6 linked regions of the Canis lupus familiaris genome follow. The protein of the gene in region 2 purifies or fractionates together with the protein of the main gene of each other region. This does not show direct contact. Links are inferred from orthologs where the notes say so. Each region holds a gene or a part of one and is shown on either strand. Other genes may lie near its edges. The genes, in order: POP1, POP7, RPP40, IBTK, RPP30 and RPP38.

Region 1 (3,500 bases), on a different chromosome or scaffold from region 2:
TCTTCCCAAACACCTACCAGTGATATACTTGGGAATCTCCTGAGACGTGCCCTCGGGACCTGCTTTCCATCCTCCCTTTTTTTTAAACATTATTTTGGAGGAAGTCTGTTCATTCACATCAGGATCAACTGGGGAATGGTAGGTCATTTTGGTTTGCCGCTGTCGTGAAGTTCCAGGAAAAGGGTCTAGTTTATTTTCAAAAAGAAAACGAAAAGAAATATGTCAGGCCTAACAAAGATATGGATTACAGTGGAAAACACCGTTTGCTGAGGGGCAACACTAACATGTTTTTAATTCTACAATCACCCGTAAGGTGGCTATTACTACCTTCCCTTTAAATAGGAGGGAATCAATTCGGGTAGGAAGGTGAATTACCACGTGACATAGTTAGCAGGCAGCACACTGGCTAACCTTGTCAGCATGATAAACTAACCCTGAACATAACTGATATAAGGGCTCTTTTGTCCAAATAGTACAAAATAGATTTTAAATCTTTTCTTTTTAAAGATTTATTTTTATTTATGATAGACATAGAGAGAGAGAGGCAGAGAGAGAAGCAGGCTCCATGCCGGGAGCCCGACGTGGGACCTGATCCTGGGACTCCAGGATCGTGCCCTGGGCCAAAGGCAGGTGCGAAACCGCTGAGCCACCCAAGGATCCCCTAGATTTTTTTTTTTTTTTAATTTATGATAGTCACACGGGGGGGGGGGGGGGGGGGGCAGAGACAGGCAGAGGGAGAAGCAGGCTCCATGCACCAGGAGCCCGACGTGGGATTCGATCCCGGGTCTCCAGGATCGTGCCCTGGGCCAAAGGCAGGCGCCAAACCGCTGTGCCACCCAGGGATCCCGGATCCCCTAGATTTTAAATCTAAACTCCCGGGACACCTGGGTGGCACAGTGGTTGAGCATCTGCCTTTGGCTCAGGTCGTGATCCCGGAGTCCTGGGACCTCCTCCCAGCAAGGAGCCTGCTTCTCCCTCTGCCTATGTCCCTGCCTCTCTCTCTGTGTCTCTCATGAATAGATAAAAAAAATCTTTTTTTTTTTAAAAAAAAGGGAGATACAATAAACACATTGTATTTCTTTTAGGAAATAAAGAATGTAATTTAATAATAACTATGTTAATAGAGATATAATATATCTGCTCTACGTACAGCCAATTCTTTTTTTTTTTTTTTTGAAGATTTTATTCATTTATTCATGATAGACACACAGAGAGAGAGGCAGAGACACAGGCAGAGGGAGAAGCAGGCTCCATGCACCGGGAGCCCGATGTGGGACTCGATCCCGGGTCTCCAGGATCGCGCCCTGGGTCGAAGGCAGGCGCCAAACCGCTGCACCACTTATTCCCAGTAGTTATGCTCTGTAAAGTCACGACAAACCCTGAGTTAGCAAATACTGAACCACTGTTCCTAGAGAAAATACACACACACACACACACACACACACCCCCCTATCACACTGACTGCAATCTCAAATCATAAAAACAATCTCAATCATAAAAACAACTCATCTTGGTACACTGTTTCCTTTTTTTACAAAGGAAAAAAATGGATTCAGAAGTGTTAAGTGATCTGCCTGCGGCTGCCCACAACTGGAACTCAATCCCTAGCTGGAGAGGGAGCTTCCTGGGCTCTGCTGCACTGCCCCACTATAGTCTCTACCTCCACCCTCTGGTCACTCTGTAAGAAAGCTGAAGCAAGGGCAGCCAGGTTGCTCAGTGGTTTAGCACTGCCTTCAGCCAGGGTATGATCCTGGAGACCTGGGATTGAGTCCCATGTGTGGAGCCTGCTTCTCCCTCTGCCTGTGTCTGTGCCTCTCCTTCTCTGTGTCTCTCATGAATAAATAAATAAAATCTTTAAAAAAAAAAAAAATAGCAGCAAGCTGAAGCAAGGAGGCAGCTGGGAACCTCAGTTAAGAATGTCCATGTGCAGTGACTCCAATTTTTTCCCTCTCTTTTTGCAAGCCCATGAATGACCACCAAAGTACCATGAGTATTAATTTGGGGGTAACAAATAAATTTAGCAACTAGGTGAATTTGCAAATACAAAATTTGTGAATAATGAAGGTCAACTGCATCTGTTTTTAATGCAGGTCATTTACTATTTAAATAATAACTAACAATGGGGAGTCTGGGTGGCTCAGTCAGTTAAGCATCTACCTTCAGGTCAGGTCATGATCCTAGGGTCCTGGGACTGAGCCCCATATAGGGCTCCCTGCTCAGTGGGGAGCCTGCTTCGGCCTCTCTCTCTCCCTCTGCCCCTCCCCCCGTTCGTGCTTTTTCTGTCTCTTTCAAATAAATAAATAAACAATCTTAAAAGAAAAAAAAAAAAGAGCTGACTAAAGCATTTTGCTCCAAATAGAATAGAAAGAATATCCTGTGTATCTTACCTTGTTTTTGAGCTTGGAAAGGTCTCCCACCTCCATTATGGTACTCTATGCCCCTATCGGCCACAAAGCCAGAAGATAAAGTAACATTTGTGGGCTGGTTTCTCATTTTCTTAGCATGTTTTCTTTCTTTTGCATTAGACATTTCTGAAAAGGAAGAATAAATTTAGTACAAGCAAAGAGAACTTCCATGCAAAATAAAAATACACTTAGTAAATAAATATTCCCGTAACTCAAAATTTGATTCTTTAATATAACCAATCTTCATTTATTATAGGTGGATTGATGATATCAAAATGTTATCACAATACTGACCTACAGAGATTTATCACCAGGGGTATTTCTAGGGGAGCCATGAATGGTATTGGCACCAAAAACCCAATTCAATAGGAAAAAAAATAATTATATTAATGGAAGAGACCATTATTAGTATATTCTAGATTACACTGCCAGATAATTCAATCATATCCCAATGATGACACTGAACAGTCTATTGAAAGAATGAAAAATGAGGTATAAGATCTCTCTGCCATAGAAAAAAATTCTTAGGTGAAACAAGAGCCACGTGAATCAATGAAATATAGTACACACTATTCTGATATAGCCTCTACAAAAACTGAACATAAATTACTGATGCCACCAAAATGAGGCCAGCTGTACCTTTAATTTATAACAGCAAAAAATTTCAATTTGAAATAAGGAATAAGGATAAAGGACAAAACCCCTGAGGGAACTTGACAGATTTACTCAGTAGTTCTCAACTTTCAAACTCAACATCTCCCCCCCTTTTTTTTAATGATTTATTTTTTTATAAAAGAGAGAGAAAAAGAGCAGTAGGGAACAGGCAGAGAGAGGGGTAGAGAGAGTCTTAAGCCTACTCCCCAGACTGTGGAATCGGACTTGGGACTCAATCTCATGACCACGATCATAACTTGAGCTGAAATCAAGAGTCAGACACAACCAACTGAGCCAACCAGGCTCCCCTCCTCTTTTTTTTCCAGAATGGTTTGAAACACCTGTTTTCTTTTTTGAAATGAAATTCATTAATTACATAACCTACTGGACATATGCCTTTTACACACACACACATATATATATATATACCCTAACTATAAT
Region 2 (4,049 bases):
ATCCGGCGGACAACTGACTTAGCATCTCCCAGGGCTGGGGCCCAATGAAAGACCAGACCGGGAAGCTTACTAGGAATTCTAACGACTGGGTAAGAAAGAGGGTCTCTTTCAAGTTAACTCGGGGGGAAGAAAAGAGGCAAAGTGTGAGGGACCGTAGCCAGGAGACTAAGCTGTTAGAAACGGACGGGCAACAGGGAGGAAGGAGACCCCAATGACCAAGCATTAATGTCGCCCGCTGAAAGGAAATTTAGGTGAAGACCCAGCGGAGGTGCTTCGGTTAAGAAAAGCTTCCACGTTGGCCAAAGTCATGGAACGCCTGGACTTTAAGACCCGCAGGGCCCAGCTAATTCCGGTCAAAGCCCGGAGGCTCGTTGGGGGAAGTCTCCGGGGAGCGCCGGGCACTAGGGTCGGGGGGCCGGGGCAGGCCTGGCGGAGGATGCGGGTGGACGGGAAGGGGCCGGGCAGGGCTGCCGAGGTGCCAGAGGACGACCGTTAGGAGCGCGGGGGTGGGAAGGAGGCGGGCCGCCCGGGAGGACGGCGTGCCCTTCAGGGAGGGGGCGCCAGGTGCGCGAGGCGAGGGGCGAGGGGCGAGGGCGTCCTCCCTCGGGGCCGCGCCGAGGAGGGGCCGGCGGGAGGGCGGACGCACCGGGCGGCGACGGCGGCAGCGGCCTGGGCAGAGAGGCGGGAGGGTCCGTGCTGGCGGCCCGCGCGCTCGCTCTGGCTCTCGCAGGCTCGGCGCGGCCGCCTCAGCGTCGGGGGCGGGCCTGCCCCGGGCCCGGCGGCGGGCCGGGGTCCGCGGGGCCGCCGAGCGCTTACCGCGGCGGGCGGGCGGCGCGAGGCTCCGGTCCCGGGGCGTTGGCGGCGCGCGGCGGGCCAGGGGGCGGCGGCGGCGGCGGCGGCGGCGGCGACGACGACGGCGGCGGCGGCGGCGGGGGAGGGGGCGCTGGCGCTCCCGCGGCGGCCGCTCCTCTCTGTTTGTGTTTGTAGCAAGATGGCTGCCCGCCTCGCACCACGTGACGCGGACGCGGGGCCGCGGGGCCGCCCCCTCCGCCGCCGCGGCCGCCTCTGCAGCCGCCGCCGCCGCTCCCTCCGTAGCCCCGGTCCCCGGCGACCCGCACGGCCTAGCGCCCGCCCCGCCTGCCCAGTGGGGAGCCCTGGCGCCCGCCGCCCCCGAAATTACCCCCCCGGCACGTGACCCGAGGCCTGGCTCGTCACGTGACGCAGGGCCTGCAGCGGGCCGGGGTGGGGGGTGGGGTCCCCGGGGCACTCCTCGGCTGCCCCCCGGCTGCTCCCGGCACGTGACGCGCGACCGTCGCGACGGAGGCCGCCGCAGGTGGCATCGCAGGGCTCGCCTCTCCAGTCGGTTTCCTCCAGGAAGCCCACCTGGATTGAAGGAGACAGCATACGATCCAGAGGTGTGTTAATTAGAAGTCCTGGGATATATAAAATAAGTGAGGAACTAATCATTTGGAAAGTGTCCGAAGCAGCACTGGCTGATGAGACCCAGAGTTTCCATCTGGCTCCGCCACTGACTACTAGCTTCTAGACCCCGGGGGCAAAGCAGTTGATGGGGCCTCAGTTTCACTTTTAGGTCAGGTGTTACGCTGTTCTCCGCCCCACCCCCGACCTCCACCCGACTCCATTCCCCTAGTGCTGGAAGAATTAAAATAGGTGAATGTGAAAGACGGTGAAGAGAGAAATTATTATGCAAATATGAGAAGTAGATTGACACCTCCTTTGTTTAAAAAAGGGGTTTTCAAGAAAGATTTTTCCAAGTCCCTGAACTTTTTAGGGTGAAAGGTTTTTTGTTTTGTTTTGTTTTTTATCCCCTGTGTATTTTCACCTTTTTGGCGGGGTAGGGGGTGCTGGTTATTCAGAATGTATACTGTACTTTCCGGCTTCCTAAAACGGCTGTTAGCAAACACAGTGTAATCCTCAGGACGGAGAAAGGTAAAGTGGGACTTAGAACTTGAGTGTCTTGTGTTGTGCCAGAATGGAGCGCAGACCTCAGGAGCTACCAGAAGGCCCTTTGTTCCCGCACCAGTGTTCCCCAGGCTTCTCTGTCCTAGCAGTTTTAGTATCTGTTTTGTTTTGTTTTGTTTTGTTTTTCCCCAGTTCCCTTCACTTTCATGCAGTCAGGATTTCTTAGTGCTGTTGGTCTCCCCCGCTTGCTGCGAGGCTGGAAAATAGCAATTGTTTAAAGCAAGGGCTCCCGTGCAGATTTCATTCATTACTGCCTGTGGCCTTGGAAATAATCTGTTCCCTCTCTGGATTGTCTGGTAAAGCATTTAACACACTGTTTGGCACAGGGCAAGTACTCCACAAATGTTAGCTGATGGGGGGGGGGGGGCTTCTGGTTTTACAGGAGAGAAGATATAAAGTTGTGAACACTGTATAAAAATGTATCGACAGAATCCAGGCTTGGGTGAGAATTCTTCACCTAAAGCTTATAAGCTTATGACAGTTTTTTTGTTACAAACTGTTGTTGCTTTTTTTTTTTTTTAACTTTTCTAGATTGTGTCCTGGGTGATGGAAGTTCCCAGCAGCCAAATCTCTGAATGAGTAAGGTCTTAGCATGTCTCGATTGTTAATTTAGCAAATATGAGATCGCACATTTTTGGTATAGGGGAAAGGGGGGGAGGGATGTCTGTGGAATGCCATCTGTAGGGAATGGTGGGGCCCTGTGCTAAGCTGGAAGGAAGACACTTGGGTAGGTTTAGGAAGAGTGGGGGTCAGCTATACAATAGTCACATTCCTGGCTAATGGGAAAAGAGCACCTGGATCCCTAGTTGGGTGAGAAGGGAAGCGAAACTTCAGCTGAGGGCTTTGAATGCCAACATGAAAATGTGTTTGATCTGAGAGTAGCACCCACTAGATGCTGCCTGGCAAGGAGCACGTGCTGGACTCCAGGGTACAGGGTTGGAGCGATCACCAAGGGTTCCTTGTGTTCCAGCTTGTGACCCTGGCCCAGTAATCTCCTCCAACTGTAGAGCTGGGGAAAATGTTGCTGCTGCTCCTGTTGCTGAAGACACTGTGGAATTTGAATCTGTGAAGTGTACCTCTTTGAGAAAGAATATTGAAATCAGAACCGTGCATCTCCCATATGGAATGAAAAAGAGAATTACGAAAAAAAGACTCAGACCTAAAATATTTTTGTTTATTCCGGTGCTATGCTATTAAATGTCTTGGTCTGTGTTTTAAATTGTTGGGCTTTTTGGGGCTGGATGGCTCAGTGGTTGAGCGTCTGCCTTTGGCTCAGGTCATGATCCTGGGGTTCTGGGATGAAGTCCCCCATCAGGCTCTCTGCAGGGAGCCTGCTTCTAACCTCTGCCTATGTCTCTTCCTCTTTCTGTGTCTCTTATGAATAAATAAATAAAATCTTAAAAAAAAAAAAAGGTGGTCTTTTGGGCACCTGGGTGGCTCAGTGGCTGTCTGCCTTTGACTTAGGTCATGATCCCAGGGTCATGAGATACAGTCCCACATCAGGTTCCCTGCAGGAAACCTGTTTCTCCCTCTGCCTAAGTCTGACTCTCCTTCTTTGTCTCTCATCAATAAATAAATAAATAATATCTTTTAAAAAATAAAAATAAATTGGCGGGTTTTTGAACTGAAGAGAAAGATTTGGTTAGGTGATTAATCAAGATGAAAGGGAGGTCTGAAGTCTAAACAGCCAAGCACTGCCTTTTTTCCTAATGGCAGATTCCTCTGTAGTGTTTGCCTAAAACAAAATGCAAAAAGATAAGTACCATCTTATTGTCAAATCAGTTTATTACAGTGCCTGGCTTCACTCACCTAAATCACAAACCGTTCTACATTATCTGGATGTCAACATTTAGAAAACATTTTTCAGATCTCATGAAAAGACACACTTCTTGAGTAATAGAGTGATAGTTCGTTTTTGGGTTTTTTTAAATAGTTCGTTTAACAATTCTTTTTTTAGGGACACCTGGGTGGCTCAGTGGTTGAGTTGTCTGCCTTTGGCTCAGATCATGAATCTGGGGTCCTGGGATCTAGTCCCACATCAGGCTCCCCTCAGGGAGCCTGCTTCT
Region 3 (4,083 bases), on a different chromosome or scaffold from region 2:
CAGGGCACCTGGGTGGCTCAGTGGTTGAGCATCTGCCTTCGGCTAGGATCTGATCCCAGGGTTCCGGGATCGAGGCCCAGCATCAGGTCCCTGCGTGGAGCCTGCTTCTCCCTCTGCCTGTGTCTCTGCCTCTCTCTCTCTGTGTATCTCTCATGAATAAATAAAATAAAAAAAAAAAAAAGAAAAAAAAGAAAACACAGATCCCAAGACTCTCTCCTCTCCCTGAATCCTTGTTATGTTACATCCCCACGCCACACGTGGACAAGTGTTGTCAGAAACCACCATCTAAAGGGACCATAAGAAGCAGCAGGGTGAGGATGCTGAGGGAGGGGGAGTGATGCATGCACATGGCCACACAGACTATCTCCAAAGGCCCTGGTTAGGACAAGAGAAGAACCCTAGTACTGCGATGTAATCTAACTGTACTTCCTCGTCTTGCCACGTTCACGACAAGGTTCTTCTTACCTTTCTTCACAAAGGTGTTGATGAATTCCTGTGTAATCAACTCATGAAGAGGTAAGTTCTTCACGAAGTAATAGGGTCCAGTTTCCATGACGAGGTTCTTCAGTTCTTTCGATAGTATCCCACACTCAGGAATCAGAAACGAGACCTATTGGAATGTGTCACGTAAGTCTTATTTTCAAGGAGATCAACCTCCAGCTTTTTAAGGATGCTATAACATATGAAGGCTGCTAACTAGTCCCCCCACAGGTTTCTATAAAACCCTAAAGTTAATTTACCCATCTTAGGAGAAGAGAAATCTGACAATTCACGTTTTTCATTTTCTGTATTCAAACATTATAGGAAAGCGAACAAGCAAAAAAAAAAAAAACTGTTATTAACGGAAAGCTCTTGTTTGCATTTCATCTTTTGCAAATAAGCACTATGTTTTATATCCTGCCCACTGCTCTAATTAATTTTTAGGGAAATACGGTACAATGGAATAACCCTGGGTTTTTTTTTTTTTTTTATCCTGGTACCAGGCTGGAATCAAGAGGACGGTCCCTTAGGACAGAAGGAAATTAAAGACATCCATCAGTAAGAGGCTCCTGGGAAGCAGAAGTGCTTCTGGCTGTTTCCGCTTTCTAGGCAGGTGTGCGGGGGCGGGGCAAGGTACCCGGGCAAGGTACGGCCAGAGACCCGCTCTCCCTCCCCCGCAGAGGAGCTGCACCGAAACTGTTTCAAGTGTTGCCCGAAACGGTTTCAAGTGCTGCCCGGTGCTCCAGACCTTGCAAAGCCCTCCCCTCAAACATCAGTCGATTCCTGAGACACGGGGTCACCACCTGGGTCTCTGGGAAACAGCAGGTCAGGCCTCGGTGGACAGGAGGCTCATGAATTCAAAATGTTAAAGGCAGGGCAGGCCGGGTGGCTCAGCGGTTAGCACCGCCTCCAGCCCAGGGCGTGACCCTGGAGACCCAGGATCCAGTCTCACGTCGGGCTCCCTGCATGGAGCCTGCTTCTCCCTCTGCCTGTGTCTCTGCCCTTCTCTCTCTCTCTGTGTTCTCATGAATAAATAAATAAAATGTTTAAAAAAAAACTTTTAAAGAGCAGTTCGCGGGCAGTCGGGTTGCTCAGCGAACCTCCTGCAGCCCAGGGCCTGATCCTGGAGCCCCGGGATCGAGTCCCACGTCGCGCTCCCTGCATGGAGCCTGCTTCTCCCTCTGCCTGGGTCTCTCTGCCTGTGTGTGTGTGTGTGTGTGTGTGACTATCATGAATAAATAAATAAAATGTTTAAAAAAAAACTTTTAAAGAGCAGTTCGCGGGCAGTCGGGTGGCTCAGCGGTTAGCGCCTCCTGCAGCCCAGGCCGTGACCCTGGAGACCCAGGTTCGAGTCCCACGTCGGGCTCCCCGCATGGAGCCTGCTTCTCTCTCTCTGTTTCTCATGCATAAATAAATAAAACCTTTAAAAATAAAATAAAACGGAAAGGGCTTAAAGCATTGCTCGGGTTGTTTCTGGAGCCTCGCCGCTTACGTGGGCCGGTGAGGAGGGGCCCTGGCCCGCCGCTGGTCCCCGTCCAGTCCTGCGGGACGCGGGAGGATCAGCCTCACCGATGCCCCCGCGGACGCCGAGGCCCCCACGAGGAGGAGGAGGAACTCGCACGGAGCGACCGGCGGCGTCACCCCGGGAGGCTCCCGGGCGGTGCCTGGAGCAGGGCCGCCCAGCCCGCGCCCGGGGACCGCGCAGGGCGAACCTCTCTCGGAGACAAGCTGGCTCCCCCGCAAGGCTCTGGCTCGGCCACCGGCTCCCACCAGGCAGCAGCAAGAACCGCTCGGGGGGCTCCGCGTCGCGCCCACGTCCCTCCTGGGAAAGCACCAGCCGCGGGACCGAGCAGCCAGCGAGCTCTGCAAACCGCCCGGGACGCGCCGCCGCCCCCGACAGGAGAGGGCACGGCCCCCGCGCCCAGCGCATCCTGGAACTTGTATTCCTGCAGCTCCGCGAGCGGCCACTCTGGAGCACAGGAGAGACTACAATTCCCAACATGCCTGGCGACGAGCCCCGCCCCCTCTACGCGTTAAGGGCGGGCCCGCCGCTCCGAGCTGAACGCGACTTTCCCCAGACCCCTCCAGCTTCCGGGGATGAAGCGATGCCCGAGAGCCCGCGGCGGCCGGACTCACCCGGTAGTTGTGATAGTGCGTTTCCACCAGATGCCGGTGGCGCGACTTGTCGTGGCCGAAGTTGGATTTCTCGCAGACCAGCAAGTGCCGAGGAACCTCTCGCAGCCGGCGTAGGGTGGCCATGCTCTCCGCGGCTCCGGCGCTGGGCGGGCTCGGCGCGCCCCGCCCCTCCTCGGCGCCCCGCCCTTCCTCGTCACTTGGCCCCGCCCCTCCTCAGCGCCCCGCCCTTTCTCGTCACTCCGCCCCGCCCTTCCTGTCGCCCCGCCCCCTCCTCGTCACTCCGCCCCCTTCTCGTCGCCCCGCCCCGCCCCGCCCCGCCCCTTGGGCATGCGCAGTTCGGCGGCGCCGAGCGGGCTGGGGCGGCCTGTGCTCGGTGATGCGCTGGAGCTGAGGCCGGGCCTGGGTGCAGGAACCTCAGCAGAAGCTCGCCCGCCGGTGCCTGCAGCCGCAGATTCATCACCTAAAATGGAAACACCTGGCGCGTGGAAAGCCGGAACTTGCCTTCTCAAACCCGTCTTTCTCCCCGTGCCCCCCTCCTCCCTCGCGTCTGTCTCTGGCCGAGCATCCTCCTCCCCCTGGTTCTTCCCCAAAAGTTAAGGAACTCTGCGCAGGAGGAGACCTCACGGTTTCCTTTTCCTGCCCTACAGTACGACTCCTTCGGCGCCACTTTAAGATCCCTTCTTTAAAAATCCCATCTGAACGGCTTTTAAAAATGTGTTGCTGTTGGGGGTTGCGGAGAAAATTCATTTTTCCATGACTTTTCCAATCAGGTACCGCATTGGTGCAAAATTCATTTTTCCATGACTTTTCCAATCGGGTACCGCATTGGTGCAAAATTCATTTTTCCATGACTTTTCCAATCGGGTACCGCATTGGTGCAAAATTCATTTTTCCATGACTTTTCCAATCAGGTACCGCATTGGTGCAGGCTTCTTCCCAAAGCATGTGCCCAGGCCCAGTTCTGTGCAGAGAGGATGCGGAACAGCAGGCTGATAGGACTTTCTGGAGCTTCAGTTTTACTATGAGATTTGCAACAGCTGAAGTTCAGCAATTTACAAGGTAAGTATTTAAAAATTTTAAACTGAGACAAGGCTGGAAAGTCCATCTGCCCATTAATGTCAGTGACCTGTGCCTGAAGTGTCAGACTATCTGAGAAAACCATGAAAAACACATTTCCCCGTATTTACTTTTAAAGATTTTATTTATGTATTCATGAGAGACACACAGAGAGAGGCAGAGACACAGGCAGAGGGGCCCGACGTGGGACCCATCCCAGGACCCCCGGGGTCACGCCCTGAGCCAAAGACAGATGCTCAGCCGCTGAGCCACCCAGGTGCCCTTCCCCTTATTTTAAACAGGAAGAATTATAGGGAATAGCAGGTGAATTGAAAAATTCTACCAATTTTCTAAGTCCTGGTATGGCACCTCGATATGTTACCACTGTCCTTTTAGGAGATCAGATGTTTA
Region 4 (3,500 bases), on a different chromosome or scaffold from region 2:
CAAGGATCTTTGTGGTTTCAGGTCTCACATTTAGGTCTTTAATACATTTTGAGTTTATTTTTGTATATGGTGAGAGAAAGTGGTCCAGTTTCATTCTTTGCGTGTTTCTCTCCAGTTTTCTCGATAAGATTTGTACGAAAAAGACAAAACAATTGTCTTTTTCCCCATTGTAAACATTCATTCTTCCTTTGTTGAGGATTAATTGGCCACATAATTGTGGGTTTATTTCTGAATTTTCTGTTCTTTTCCATCGATGTATGTGTCTCTTTTTATGCTAATATCATGCTGTTATAGTTACTGTTGTTTTGTAATATAACTTGAAATCTGGAATTGTGATACCTCCAGTTTTGGTTTTCTTTTTTGAGATTGCTTTGGCTATTCCTGGGATGCAAGTGTGATTCAGTATTCATACAAGAATCATTGTGATAATACATCACATTAGTAAGAGTCATCTGGCTGTAAAATCAATAGTGCCACTGTTGAATATGTCACATTTAAAAGTGTTGAATTTTCTGATAGAATGAGAATCCCTGTTTTGCATGTTGCTTGTTGAAAAGTTGAATGATTTGGTTTTTATACTGTTAATTTTTTATATATTAAAACTGCTGACTTAAAGTTGCTGCATCAAAATATCTTGTGTTCTGAGAAGGGTTGGAGTCTCAGTGCTGACATCTTCAGTGAATTCTGGCATTAGAACTTGAGGGGGCACTGGTAGTGGGTATGTCATATATTTGCTACTCTGGTCTACTGGATCTTTAAAAAATTATTCTAGTACTTGGTAATATAATAAACTGCTGTCTTACTTATCTTTTTGAATAGATGCAGGCAAAATATCTGAAAGGAAGGACAATCATTGGAGTAGCGGCAGGCAGGTTTCATACAGTGCTGTGGACTAGAGAAGCTGTTTACACTATGGGACTAAATGGTGGACAACTGGGTAAGAAATCTTGATGACAATATCTGAAAAGTAAATTGAATTTTTTTTTATTTTATTTTTATTTTATTTTTTTTTGAATTTTTAAAACAATAAAAAATTTAAAAATTTTTTAAAAATAAATTGTTTTTTATTTATTTGTCTGATTTTTTAGGTTATTTGCCAGATCCCAATGGAGAAAAGTATGTAACTGCTCCTCGTCAAGTCTCTGCCCTTCATCATAAGGATATCACTTTGTCTTTAGTTGCTGCAAGTGATGGGGCCACAGTCTGTGTTACCACAAGGGGAGATATTTACTTACTTGCAGACTATCAGTGCAAGAAGATGGCTTCTAAGTATGTTATGTGTATTTTTGTAAAGAAATATAATTTTAATAATAATAATTCTTCCAGCAAGACTTAGAATATAAGCTTTATGTGCTATGTTCTAGAGTGTCAGATGAAGAAAACTGAATGGAGAAAATTTAAAACTGAAAGGGAAAATCAAGAGTTTTTACCTTTGAGCTTAGTCTTTGAGAAGCATCCAGGGAGCATATGTAGAAGTTCTCTGTAAATTGTTAAACAGTATTTCAGAACTATATTTAACATATGGTTAAATGTGACCTATAAATTTCTTTTTTTTTTTATGCTTCAGGTACATAGTACTAGATTAATTATAATTCTTGGTTTGTGACACAATCATCATTGGTTCATGTGTGGCTTTCTTATGTTATGCATTTATTTATTTTTTAAAAATAGCTAATTATTTATCATGGATTCTCAGTCCATGTGTTTATAATTAACTGGTATATTTTTTATCTTTATATTTGTGTAGCCTTTTGTTACCTGAGAGTAGGATATAGTATGATATATCCTATAGTAGGATATAGTAGCATGCAGTAAAAACTAGCAGTTGGTTAGCTCATCAAAAAAGCCAGGTAAAGCAGGGAATCATAAAACTAAGGTGTAAGCATGGATGTGTCCGCCAATTGGAGTTCCTTAGCTTTTGAGCATAAACCTACCCATAATGTATCATCTGTGATTTCATTTTGAACACTTAAGGAGGAAGCTCTTAAAAACAATTGTGAGGTAAATTAATATGGTTAGAGTCCTTTACTTTTCATATATTTCAATCTTTTATAGTTGATTAATCCATTTCTGATTTGACAGCAGTATTTTGCTATGCATTTTAATGTGTCATTCCAAAGTATTCAACTTTTTTTTTTTTCAAGATTTTATTTATTTATTCATGAGAGACACAGAGAGACAGGCAGAGAGAGAAGCAGGCTCCATGCAGTGAGCCCAATGTGGGACTCGATCCTGGGACTCCAGGATCACGCCCTGAGCCGAAGGCAGAAGCTCAACCTCTGAGCCACCCAGGCGTCCCCAAAATTAAATTAGTGATGATTTTCCTGGTAGCTATTAGCTATTTAGGGTTGTTCATATTTGAAATTAAAGATTTGTTTCATTTTGAGGTTTTAAGTTTTTCTGGTCTGTTAGGAGCTTTTAGTCTTATCAGTTAATTAAAGTAGAGTGAAGGGATCCCTGGGTGGCACAGCAGTTTAGTGCCTGCCTTTGGCCCAGGGCACGATCCTGGAGACCCGGGATCGAACCCCACGTCAGGCTCCCGGTGCATGGAGCCTGCTTCTCCCTCTGCCTGTGTCTCTGCTCTTTCTCTCTGTGTGTGTGACTATCATAAATTAAAAAAAAAAAAAAAAAAAAAAAGTAGAGTGAATGTGTGCATTCACAAGTGGGACTTTAGATTTCAGAGGTGTGTGTGTGTGTGTGTAGGTACAGGCATTTGGGAGGGAAGGACTTGCTATAAAAAGAAACTGCCATAATGTAGGGGAAACTTAAAGAGAAAGGAGGGACTAAGGATACCAAAGGCCAAATTGTCTTACTTCACGTGTCACAATAATCACTGTAGATTATTGTTTGAATAGTAATTTCTTAAAAATTGAGCCATGTATATTTTAGAGAACATATTTTTTTTTAATTTTTTTTTTTTTTTAGAGAACATATTAATGGAGAGTTTTCTTTTTCACCTAGACAACTAAACTTGAAAAAAGTTCTTGTTTCTGGGGGACGTATGGAATACAAGGTTGATCCTGAAAATTTGAAGGAAAATGGGGGTCAAAAAATTTGCATTCTTGCCATGGATGGAGCTGGAAGGGTAAGTGTATATTTATGCAAAAGTGTAGTAAAGAAATTTTGTTCTCAATTGATAGCTGTAAGGGACCTGATAATGTGAACATGTATTATTATGATGATGATGATTCCCATTGACTTTTTTCTCTACTTACTTTTGACATCAGTAGTAATTAGTATGGAGCTGATATTTCAAAGAAAGTTTGATGACAATTAATGTTGCACAGTACAGCTTTGTTAAACTGTAGCTTAAAATTTCATTTACTGTGCTTAAAATGGAAATAAGGAATTTTGATGGATTATTTGATATGTAAACTGAGTATGGATGAAGATATCAAATCGCATAGATATATTTTATATAACAGCTCCTTAAAAAAAGTAAAAGCTGAACAGGCAAAATTAAAAATTTTGTAATTAGTAAATTTCCCCCAGATTTAGTT
Region 5 (2,532 bases), on a different chromosome or scaffold from region 2:
TCACTGAGGACCTGCCATCATGCCTATCTATTCTGAATAGCAGGATAAGTACCTGTCCATAAACAGAAAGCAGGCACAACTGCAAATATGTAACAGATGTGCATAAATGAAGGAGCAACTCTAGTTCTAATCTTTTCCCAGTTGCTTCTTTTTTGAAGACAACAGTCACACCTGCAATAACTCTACCTTCTTCCTAACTGGAGGTCTTCAATACTCTATCTGCAATACAACTGGGGCAAATAGACACATATAAACCAGTTGGTTGAAACAGTAGACGAAGGTGGGACATCAGAAAAAAGTTGAACATACGATCCCTTAAACATTTTGAGTTCAAAATATATAAATGCACACTCATGTGCCGAACTGTAGAGATCAGCATCTGCTCTGGGGAGTGTCGACCCCCTGATAGGGCATCCATCAGCTGCCTTTCTTGAGTTCCAATATCTTTTTTTTTTTGAGTTCCAGTATCTTTAAAGAAGAAAGAGAACTGAAGACTTGAGTGAAACAATCCAAGTGTGGAATTTTTACTGCACTCCCCAAACCCCAAATCTTAGTTGTCCTGTTCACACCTATTTTGGCAGATTTTTTTAATGGCTCATCTTTTTTAAGTCTTTCAAAAGCTTGAAATTCCTGGGAATTCTTTTTTCGTCCTTCATAGTGCAACAGTTTTTGTAATTTTTAGTTGATGTATATAACTTTACAATGCTAACCACAGTAGTATAAACAGACTTGAGAATAAAGCACATTCACTTTTGGTGAGTTCAAGTGGGGTGGGGGCAAAAGTAAGCTAGTCCTGGAGGAAGTGGTGGACTGCAGCGTGTGGGCTCAGCGGTGGCCACATCAGTTTTACGGAGGGAATGGAGTTGACTAATCCATCAAATTGCTCAAGTGGAAGGCACACAAAAATGCTCTTAGAGACATCATGCTTACTACATACAATATACAAATATATACAGACATACATATGTGTGTGTGAAATATTCTACTACTTGGTTTTATGGCAGGAGTGGATTTTAAGTTTTATCAAATGTCCTACTTGCACCGGTTAAAAGGATTCTGATTTTTCTCATCTGATTAATAAATATGATGAAATACAGTACATTAAAAAGAACTGAAATATCCTTATATTCCTAGAATAAATCTCACTTGTCATGGTATATTATTTTAATGGCCTCTCTTTACCAATATTTTATTTAAGAATCTATATTCATAAGTGAGACTGATATAAAGCTTTTTTAAAAATTATCTTTTTTCTCAGAATACTGTTGCTTTTCTCACTGAAGTTATTTTTTTTATATCAATATAACATGAATACAGACACTTGCAAAAAAGGCTACTTCCATTTAACTGAATGATTATGCTACATAAAAAATTTTTTTTTCAGAGTTGGTTGAGTACAATGGTTTGATATTTTTAGTACTACTATGAGGAAAATCAATATTAGGTTTTTAGAGACTTCCAATCAAAGGAGGGAATTCTATTTCAAGAACATCATGGAGGTAAAACCAGCAGAGAGGAAGAGGCCATGTGTAATTTTACATATACTTTTCTCTCTCCTTCCAAAAATTTTATAGCAATTGTTTTCAGAAAGAACTCTGACTTGATGAATACAAGGACAGGCTTACAATAGAAATAAGTCAACTAAAAGCCAACCCCTTAGTAAGTCTTCATAGGCCTCAAAATAACCCCTTTTTGAATGGTAAGATTAAAAAAATAATAAGCCATGTATATGAAGTGAAGCAGCAAAGCATGTATTTTTAAATGAAGAACTTTTTTTTTAAATGCAGATGCATTCACTTTTTTTTTTTTTAAGATTTTATTTTATTTATGAGAGACAGAGAGAGAGAGAGAGAGAGGCAGAGACACAGGCAGAGGGAGAAGCAGACCTCACTGAGCAGGGAGCCCAATATGGGACTCGATCCCAGGTCTCCAGGATCACACTCTGGGCTGAAGGCGGCGCTAAACTGCTGAGCCACCAAGGCTGCCCAAGAAGAAACATTTTTAAGGAGTCTCCTCCTGAAATATCTTATTCAGTTATATCTGCCGTTTTATCACTTAACACAAAAAATAAATAAACTTGTCTCTTTCTCTCAAAATATATCTAAATTAATTAAGTGGGCAGTCGTCTTTTTTACTGCTTCACTAGGTTTTGTTATTTTAATGGCTTGAATATAAAATTGTTTTTATAGACTGCTGAGTTCTAGCTCTGAATGAAAATAGTAAGTCATAAAGGTTTTGTTTCTGTTGTGACTGATGGATTATCAAAGGGAAGAAGGGAGTGTTGACAGAGACCGGGGATTCTTTTCAGCCCTCACACTTGGCTTTCTTGCAAGCTGGAAGAGAATCCTCATCTGCTTCTGATGGCCGAGGTTTCTTCACTGTGGAAATAATTCCAAAAGCAGTTTTTCTCGTTTCTGTAAAACAGACAGGGAAACCATAGGGCTTGAAGTTAAGACATGATTTAAAAAGTGGTGGTTTAACATGTATCACCATGTTACTTTGACTTATAACATTAGTAAATGATAAAACCAG
Region 6 (3,927 bases), on a different chromosome or scaffold from region 2:
CGTGCTCTCCCTATCTCTCAAATAAATAAATATATTTTTTAGAAATCACATGGGTAACCTGCAACAATCTCGGAACCAAAAGGAACACGGGCTTTTTGTTTTGCTTACTTTACGGCCAGTTAGGTGCTACGTCGGTGCTAAAAACCCAGAATGTTAGGAAACAGATTAAGAAATGTAAATTCAAGGGCAGCCCTGGGTGGCTCAGCGGTTTAGGCGCCTGCCTTCAGCTCAGGGCGCGATCCTGGAGACCCGGGATCGGATCCCACGTCGGGCTCCCTGCATGGAGCCTGCTTCTCCCTCTGCCTATGTCTCTGCCTCTCTGTGTGTGTGTCTCATGAATAAATAAATAAAAATAATTTAAAAAAAGAAATGGAAAATCAAAACGAGCCTAGAAGAGGTTGAGAAAGGACAAGTTTTGAGAAAGACAGGGAGAGGAAAAGTAAGTGGGGGTGGGGGTGGGGAGCTAAGTTAGGCTGGAAAGGGAAAGGAAGGGGGTGGCGAGGGAGGGAGGAGGCTCTTCAGGTCAGAAGCAACCTACTTTCTTCCAAGCGCCCTCCCGGCCCCGGGTGGATCGACACGCTCCGATGCCTGACCTTGCAAACGTCCTCCAGCCGTTTCGCAGTCGTCCAGGACCTCCCAGCGACCCCGTTCCTACCGTCAGTTTTCACTGGCCGGAGCAGCTACAGCAGATACTTGGGGGAGTTTTCGGAGCTGCTGTCGCACACTCCAAAGCAGCCTTCCCGTGCCTGTTTCGGGAGGGGCGGGGGTGGGGGGCAAGATCGCCTGCACGGTTGCCTGTAAGCGCGTTTTTATCCCAGACCACCCCTCATCCCCGCTGCATCTTGACCTCCCCGGTGCCGGGGAGTCGACGGAGGCCGGGGGACGCTGGGGCACGGCCTGGGGCTTTGCGTTCCCCTCGGGCAAGCCAAATACCGAAAAGCGAGAAGAGGGCGAGCGAGCCAAGGCTCCCGGGAGCAGAGAGGTAGAGACTGGATTAGAAGCGAGAGGGCGGCAGATGTGACAAACAGCTTCGGGGGACGACCGACGAGCCCTCACACCAGCCACCGAGACCGAGAGCGACGCGTTACCACGACAACCGTGAAGTCTCGCGAGGCTCGCAGTGAGGTCTCCCTGCGCCTGCGCGCTGCCGCGGTGGGGCGCAGCCCTGAGCCTCCCGGCCCGCGATCCCGGACTCCGGGCTTTTGTGGCTCGGGCCTTGGACGCTGTGGGCCGACTCTCCCCACCGTGAGTGACAAGGGGGACGGTGAGATGCGAAGCGGTCTGAGCATGGGGGGCGGGGCCGGAGAGGCGGGGGCTCTGCGCACGCGCGGCGCACGTGCAGACGGCGGGGGTGCGGTCGTGAGTGGGAGCGGGGCGCGGGGCGCGGGGGCGGGAGGGGCGCGCCCCGGGTGGGGTCCGGCTCGGGACGCGGGCGCCGGGGGGACACGCGAGGTCCCCAGGTCTTCTCCGGGAGACCTGTCCGTCCGGCCAGGCAGCCCCAGCGCGACGGGGGCTACGTTCCGCCTCCGGGCCTGGGTTTCCTCTCCTGTCTCTGCCTGGGGTTGAGCATCTTAGGGCGCGGGAACCGGCGAGATAAAGCCCCCCTCGCCCCCCGGCCCCTCAGTGCCCCAGGCCTACAAGTGCGGGCGGATCCCTGTAGGACTGCGGTGTGCGGGCGAAATGGTGAAGGATGCGGCGGTACAGGCGGGCGGCAGGCCCGGGGAGGGAGGAGCTCGGGGGCAGGAACGCAGCCTGCGGGCCCTGGGGCTGCCGCCCAACCCCCTCCGGAAGGCTTTTCTTTTTTCTTTCTTTTCTTTTCTTTTTTTCTTTTCTTCTTTCTTATTTTGTTTATTTATTCATGACAGAGAGAGAGAGAGAGAGAGAGGCAGAGACACAGGCAGAGGGAGAAGCAGGCTCCACGCAGGGAGCCCGACGTGGGACTCGATCCCGGGACCCCAGGATCACGCGGTGCTAAACCGCTGAGCCACCCGGGGATCCCCTGGAAGGCATCTCTGAGTCCTTTACTTCCTATTGATAGCTCCAAGCCGGGTAGGTTCCACCAGTTAACTCTTCCAACTGCATGTAATTTTGTCCCGTTGTTCCCTCTGCGGTCACTCTGGTGCAGGCCACCATCGAGCCTACCCTGGGAACCTCTTTGCTCCTCCTTCCACTTCTGGCAAAGGAGTGGCCCCGGGCTTCCGCAAGGATGGTTTTGCAGGGCCTTTCAAATCACGCTCGCTCTTGTGTCTCAAACGTTGCAGTTGCTTTCCATTATTATGCGGTTTGCGGGACCTTCACCCTCTGGTCCTCGCCTCCCTTTCCTGATACCTCAGCATCTCTAGCATCTCTTCCCCAGCGGCGTGAACTTCCTTCATTTCGTTAATGTTGTTGCCTGGGGTACTCTTTCTGCTTCATGCCCCCTTTGGCTGGCACTCTTCAGATGCAGGGTTGAAAGGTCACTTTCTCCAGGACATCTTTTCTCTCCCCTTCAGCTAATTCATGCTTCTGCTGTTTCCTTAGTATCCTTAGAATTCCCAGACTTGAATGTGCACATCTTCTTGTACTATTACCTGCTCATTTGTTGTTTTCATGGATTCTAAGTTCTGTTGAGGCCAGTAACTGTTTTTACGCTAATACTTTATGGTTTGGTACATTGTGGATAATCCAGAAATACTTGCTGAAGAAGAAAGGTGGTTGTGGGGCCGAAGGTGGGAACAGTATTCCAGGCAGAGGGAATAATATGTACGAAGATGGAGGGGGGGCGCAGCCCTGGTGGCTCAGTGGTTTAGCGCCTGCCTTTAGCCCAGGGCGTGATCCTGGAGACCTGGGATCAAGCCCCATGTCGGGCTCCCTGCATGGAGCCTGCTTCTCCCTCTGCCCATGTCTCTGCCTCTCTCTCTCCCATCTCTCATGAACAAATAAATAAAAATTAAAAAGATGGGGAGGGTAGAAATTGGTGGCCTCAATAAGCAGTAAGTGGGTGTAATGGTGGAAGAGGCTGGTGGGAGGTGAGAGTCAGTGTGTGTGGGGTTTGTAGGTCACTGTAAAGGGTTTGCACTTGATCCCATAGGTGGTGAGTGCCTCCAAGACATAGCCCAAAAGGCACCTCAGCAAGGCCTTCATGTTTTTCTGCTCTAAAACCATCCCTTCTCATCAATCAGTATTTTGCTCTTGGATTATCTGGTGGAAGGTTCTGTTCTATCTGAACTACTTGGCTCTCGTCTCTCCCGCTAGATTCTGAGAACAGGAGTTCATGCCTCACTTGCTGTCTCTCCAGAGCACACAAGTATAAGTATTACTTAAGGATTTCAGCATCATGCTGCTTGGATGCTGAGGCACATGAGCTGACTTGCAGTTTGGCAAGAGCTCTGTTCAGTCATATTTGTCTTGCTCGTCTTCCTGACCTTCAACCTGATGCCAGCCTCTACCAATCCTGACTGGATTTAGCTGGTCTGCTTCCTGACTCCCTCTGTGCTTGGGGGGAACATGGAGAAAATGAGGGGGGAGGTGTCAGTGAGGATGGCTGTGCAGAGGGGCTGGTATGAAGGAAGCAGCTTGCACAGCAGGTACTGAGGCTCTGGCATCAAGGTCCTGAACAAGGTCCGACACTCCCTGGAGGAGCTGAAGTTTGGATTTCTGTTACAAGAGGACTTAGGAGGAGCAGTGGAGACCAGTGGCAGTCAGGAGGCCATTTTTCATTTCTCAGGAGGCCTGTCCGGTGTCAAGGGCCAGCCTGTCCTATCCCAGCTATTCTAACCCTGTTCTGGATCAGAGTCATCTGGGCAGCTTTGACAAATACAGGTACCCTGGTCCTATTCCCAGGGATTCCAGTTCAGTACGTCCAGGATAAGGACCAACCACCTGTATGTTTTTAAAAGGCAACAGGTTACTTTTGAGGTGCAGCCAGGATGGAAAGAGCATAAACTT

The links.
Region 1: the proteins of POP7 (region 2) and POP1 purify together in Homo sapiens (affinity purification with mass spectrometry; 3 studies listed by BioGRID and IntAct, with this or other methods). This does not show direct contact. The link is inferred for Canis lupus familiaris from reciprocal best matches to the Homo sapiens genes POP7 and POP1.
Region 3: the proteins of POP7 (region 2) and RPP40 purify together in Homo sapiens (co-immunoprecipitation; 4 studies listed by BioGRID and IntAct, with this or other methods). This does not show direct contact. The link is inferred for Canis lupus familiaris from reciprocal best matches to the Homo sapiens genes POP7 and RPP40.
Region 4: the proteins of POP7 (region 2) and IBTK purify together in Homo sapiens (affinity purification with mass spectrometry; 3 studies listed by BioGRID and IntAct, with this or other methods). This does not show direct contact. The link is inferred for Canis lupus familiaris from reciprocal best matches to the Homo sapiens genes POP7 and IBTK.
Region 5: the proteins of POP7 (region 2) and RPP30 purify together in Homo sapiens (co-immunoprecipitation; 4 studies listed by BioGRID and IntAct, counting the BioPlex papers as one, with this or other methods). This does not show direct contact. The link is inferred for Canis lupus familiaris from reciprocal best matches to the Homo sapiens genes POP7 and RPP30.
Region 6: the proteins of POP7 (region 2) and RPP38 purify together in Homo sapiens (co-immunoprecipitation; 3 studies listed by BioGRID and IntAct, with this or other methods). This does not show direct contact. The link is inferred for Canis lupus familiaris from reciprocal best matches to the Homo sapiens genes POP7 and RPP38.

What each region holds. Positions count from the first base shown.
Region 1 is NC_049234.1:470,078-473,577, reverse strand, and holds part of POP1 (ribonucleases P/MRP protein subunit POP1), read right to left. Parts: intron 2,532-3,500; 5' UTR 2,530-2,531; coding exon 2,388-2,529; intron 186-2,387; coding exon 18-185; intron 1-17. UniProt on the Homo sapiens protein: Component of ribonuclease P, a ribonucleoprotein complex that generates mature tRNA molecules by cleaving their 5'-ends. Also a component of the MRP ribonuclease complex, which cleaves pre-rRNA sequences.
Region 2 is NC_049227.1:8,960,925-8,964,973, reverse strand, and holds the start of POP7 (ribonuclease P protein subunit p20), read left to right. Parts: upstream 1-1,249; 5' UTR 1,250-1,415; intron 1,416-2,514; exon of another isoform or gene 2,515-2,562; intron 2,563-2,953; exon of another isoform or gene 2,954-3,346; intron 3,347-4,049. UniProt on the Homo sapiens protein: Component of ribonuclease P, a ribonucleoprotein complex that generates mature tRNA molecules by cleaving their 5'-ends. Also a component of the MRP ribonuclease complex, which cleaves pre-rRNA sequences.
Region 3 is NC_049256.1:6,410,279-6,414,361, forward strand, and holds the start of RPP40 (ribonuclease P protein subunit p40), read right to left. Parts: upstream 2,801-4,083; 5' UTR 2,740-2,800; coding exon 2,617-2,739; intron 2,531-2,616; exon of another isoform or gene 2,193-2,530; intron 2,128-2,192; exon of another isoform or gene 1,973-2,127; intron 611-1,972; coding exon 466-610; intron 1-465. UniProt on the Homo sapiens protein: Component of ribonuclease P, a ribonucleoprotein complex that generates mature tRNA molecules by cleaving their 5'-ends. Also a component of the MRP ribonuclease complex, which cleaves pre-rRNA sequences.
Region 4 is NC_049233.1:42,951,455-42,954,954, reverse strand, and holds part of IBTK (inhibitor of Bruton tyrosine kinase), read left to right. Parts: intron 1-819; coding exon 820-937; intron 938-1,088; coding exon 1,089-1,269; intron 1,270-2,961; coding exon 2,962-3,085; intron 3,086-3,500. UniProt on the Homo sapiens protein: Acts as an inhibitor of BTK tyrosine kinase activity, thereby playing a role in B-cell development. Down-regulates BTK kinase activity, leading to interference with BTK-mediated calcium mobilization and NF-kappa-B-driven transcription.
Region 5 is NC_049249.1:5,743,745-5,746,276, reverse strand, and holds the end of RPP30 (ribonuclease P protein subunit p30), read right to left. Parts: intron 2,415-2,532; coding exon 2,305-2,414; 3' UTR 501-2,304; downstream 1-500. UniProt on the Homo sapiens protein: Component of ribonuclease P, a ribonucleoprotein complex that generates mature tRNA molecules by cleaving their 5'-ends. Also a component of the MRP ribonuclease complex, which cleaves pre-rRNA sequences.
Region 6 is NC_049223.1:20,577,873-20,581,799, reverse strand, and holds the start of RPP38 (ribonuclease P protein subunit p38), read left to right. Parts: upstream 1-1,127; 5' UTR 1,128-1,264; intron 1,265-1,404; exon of another isoform or gene 1,405-1,683; intron 1,684-1,865; exon of another isoform or gene 1,866-1,869; 5' UTR 1,870-2,049; intron 2,050-2,091; exon of another isoform or gene 2,092-2,708; intron 2,709-3,927. UniProt on the Homo sapiens protein: Component of ribonuclease P, a ribonucleoprotein complex that generates mature tRNA molecules by cleaving their 5'-ends. Also a component of the MRP ribonuclease complex, which cleaves pre-rRNA sequences.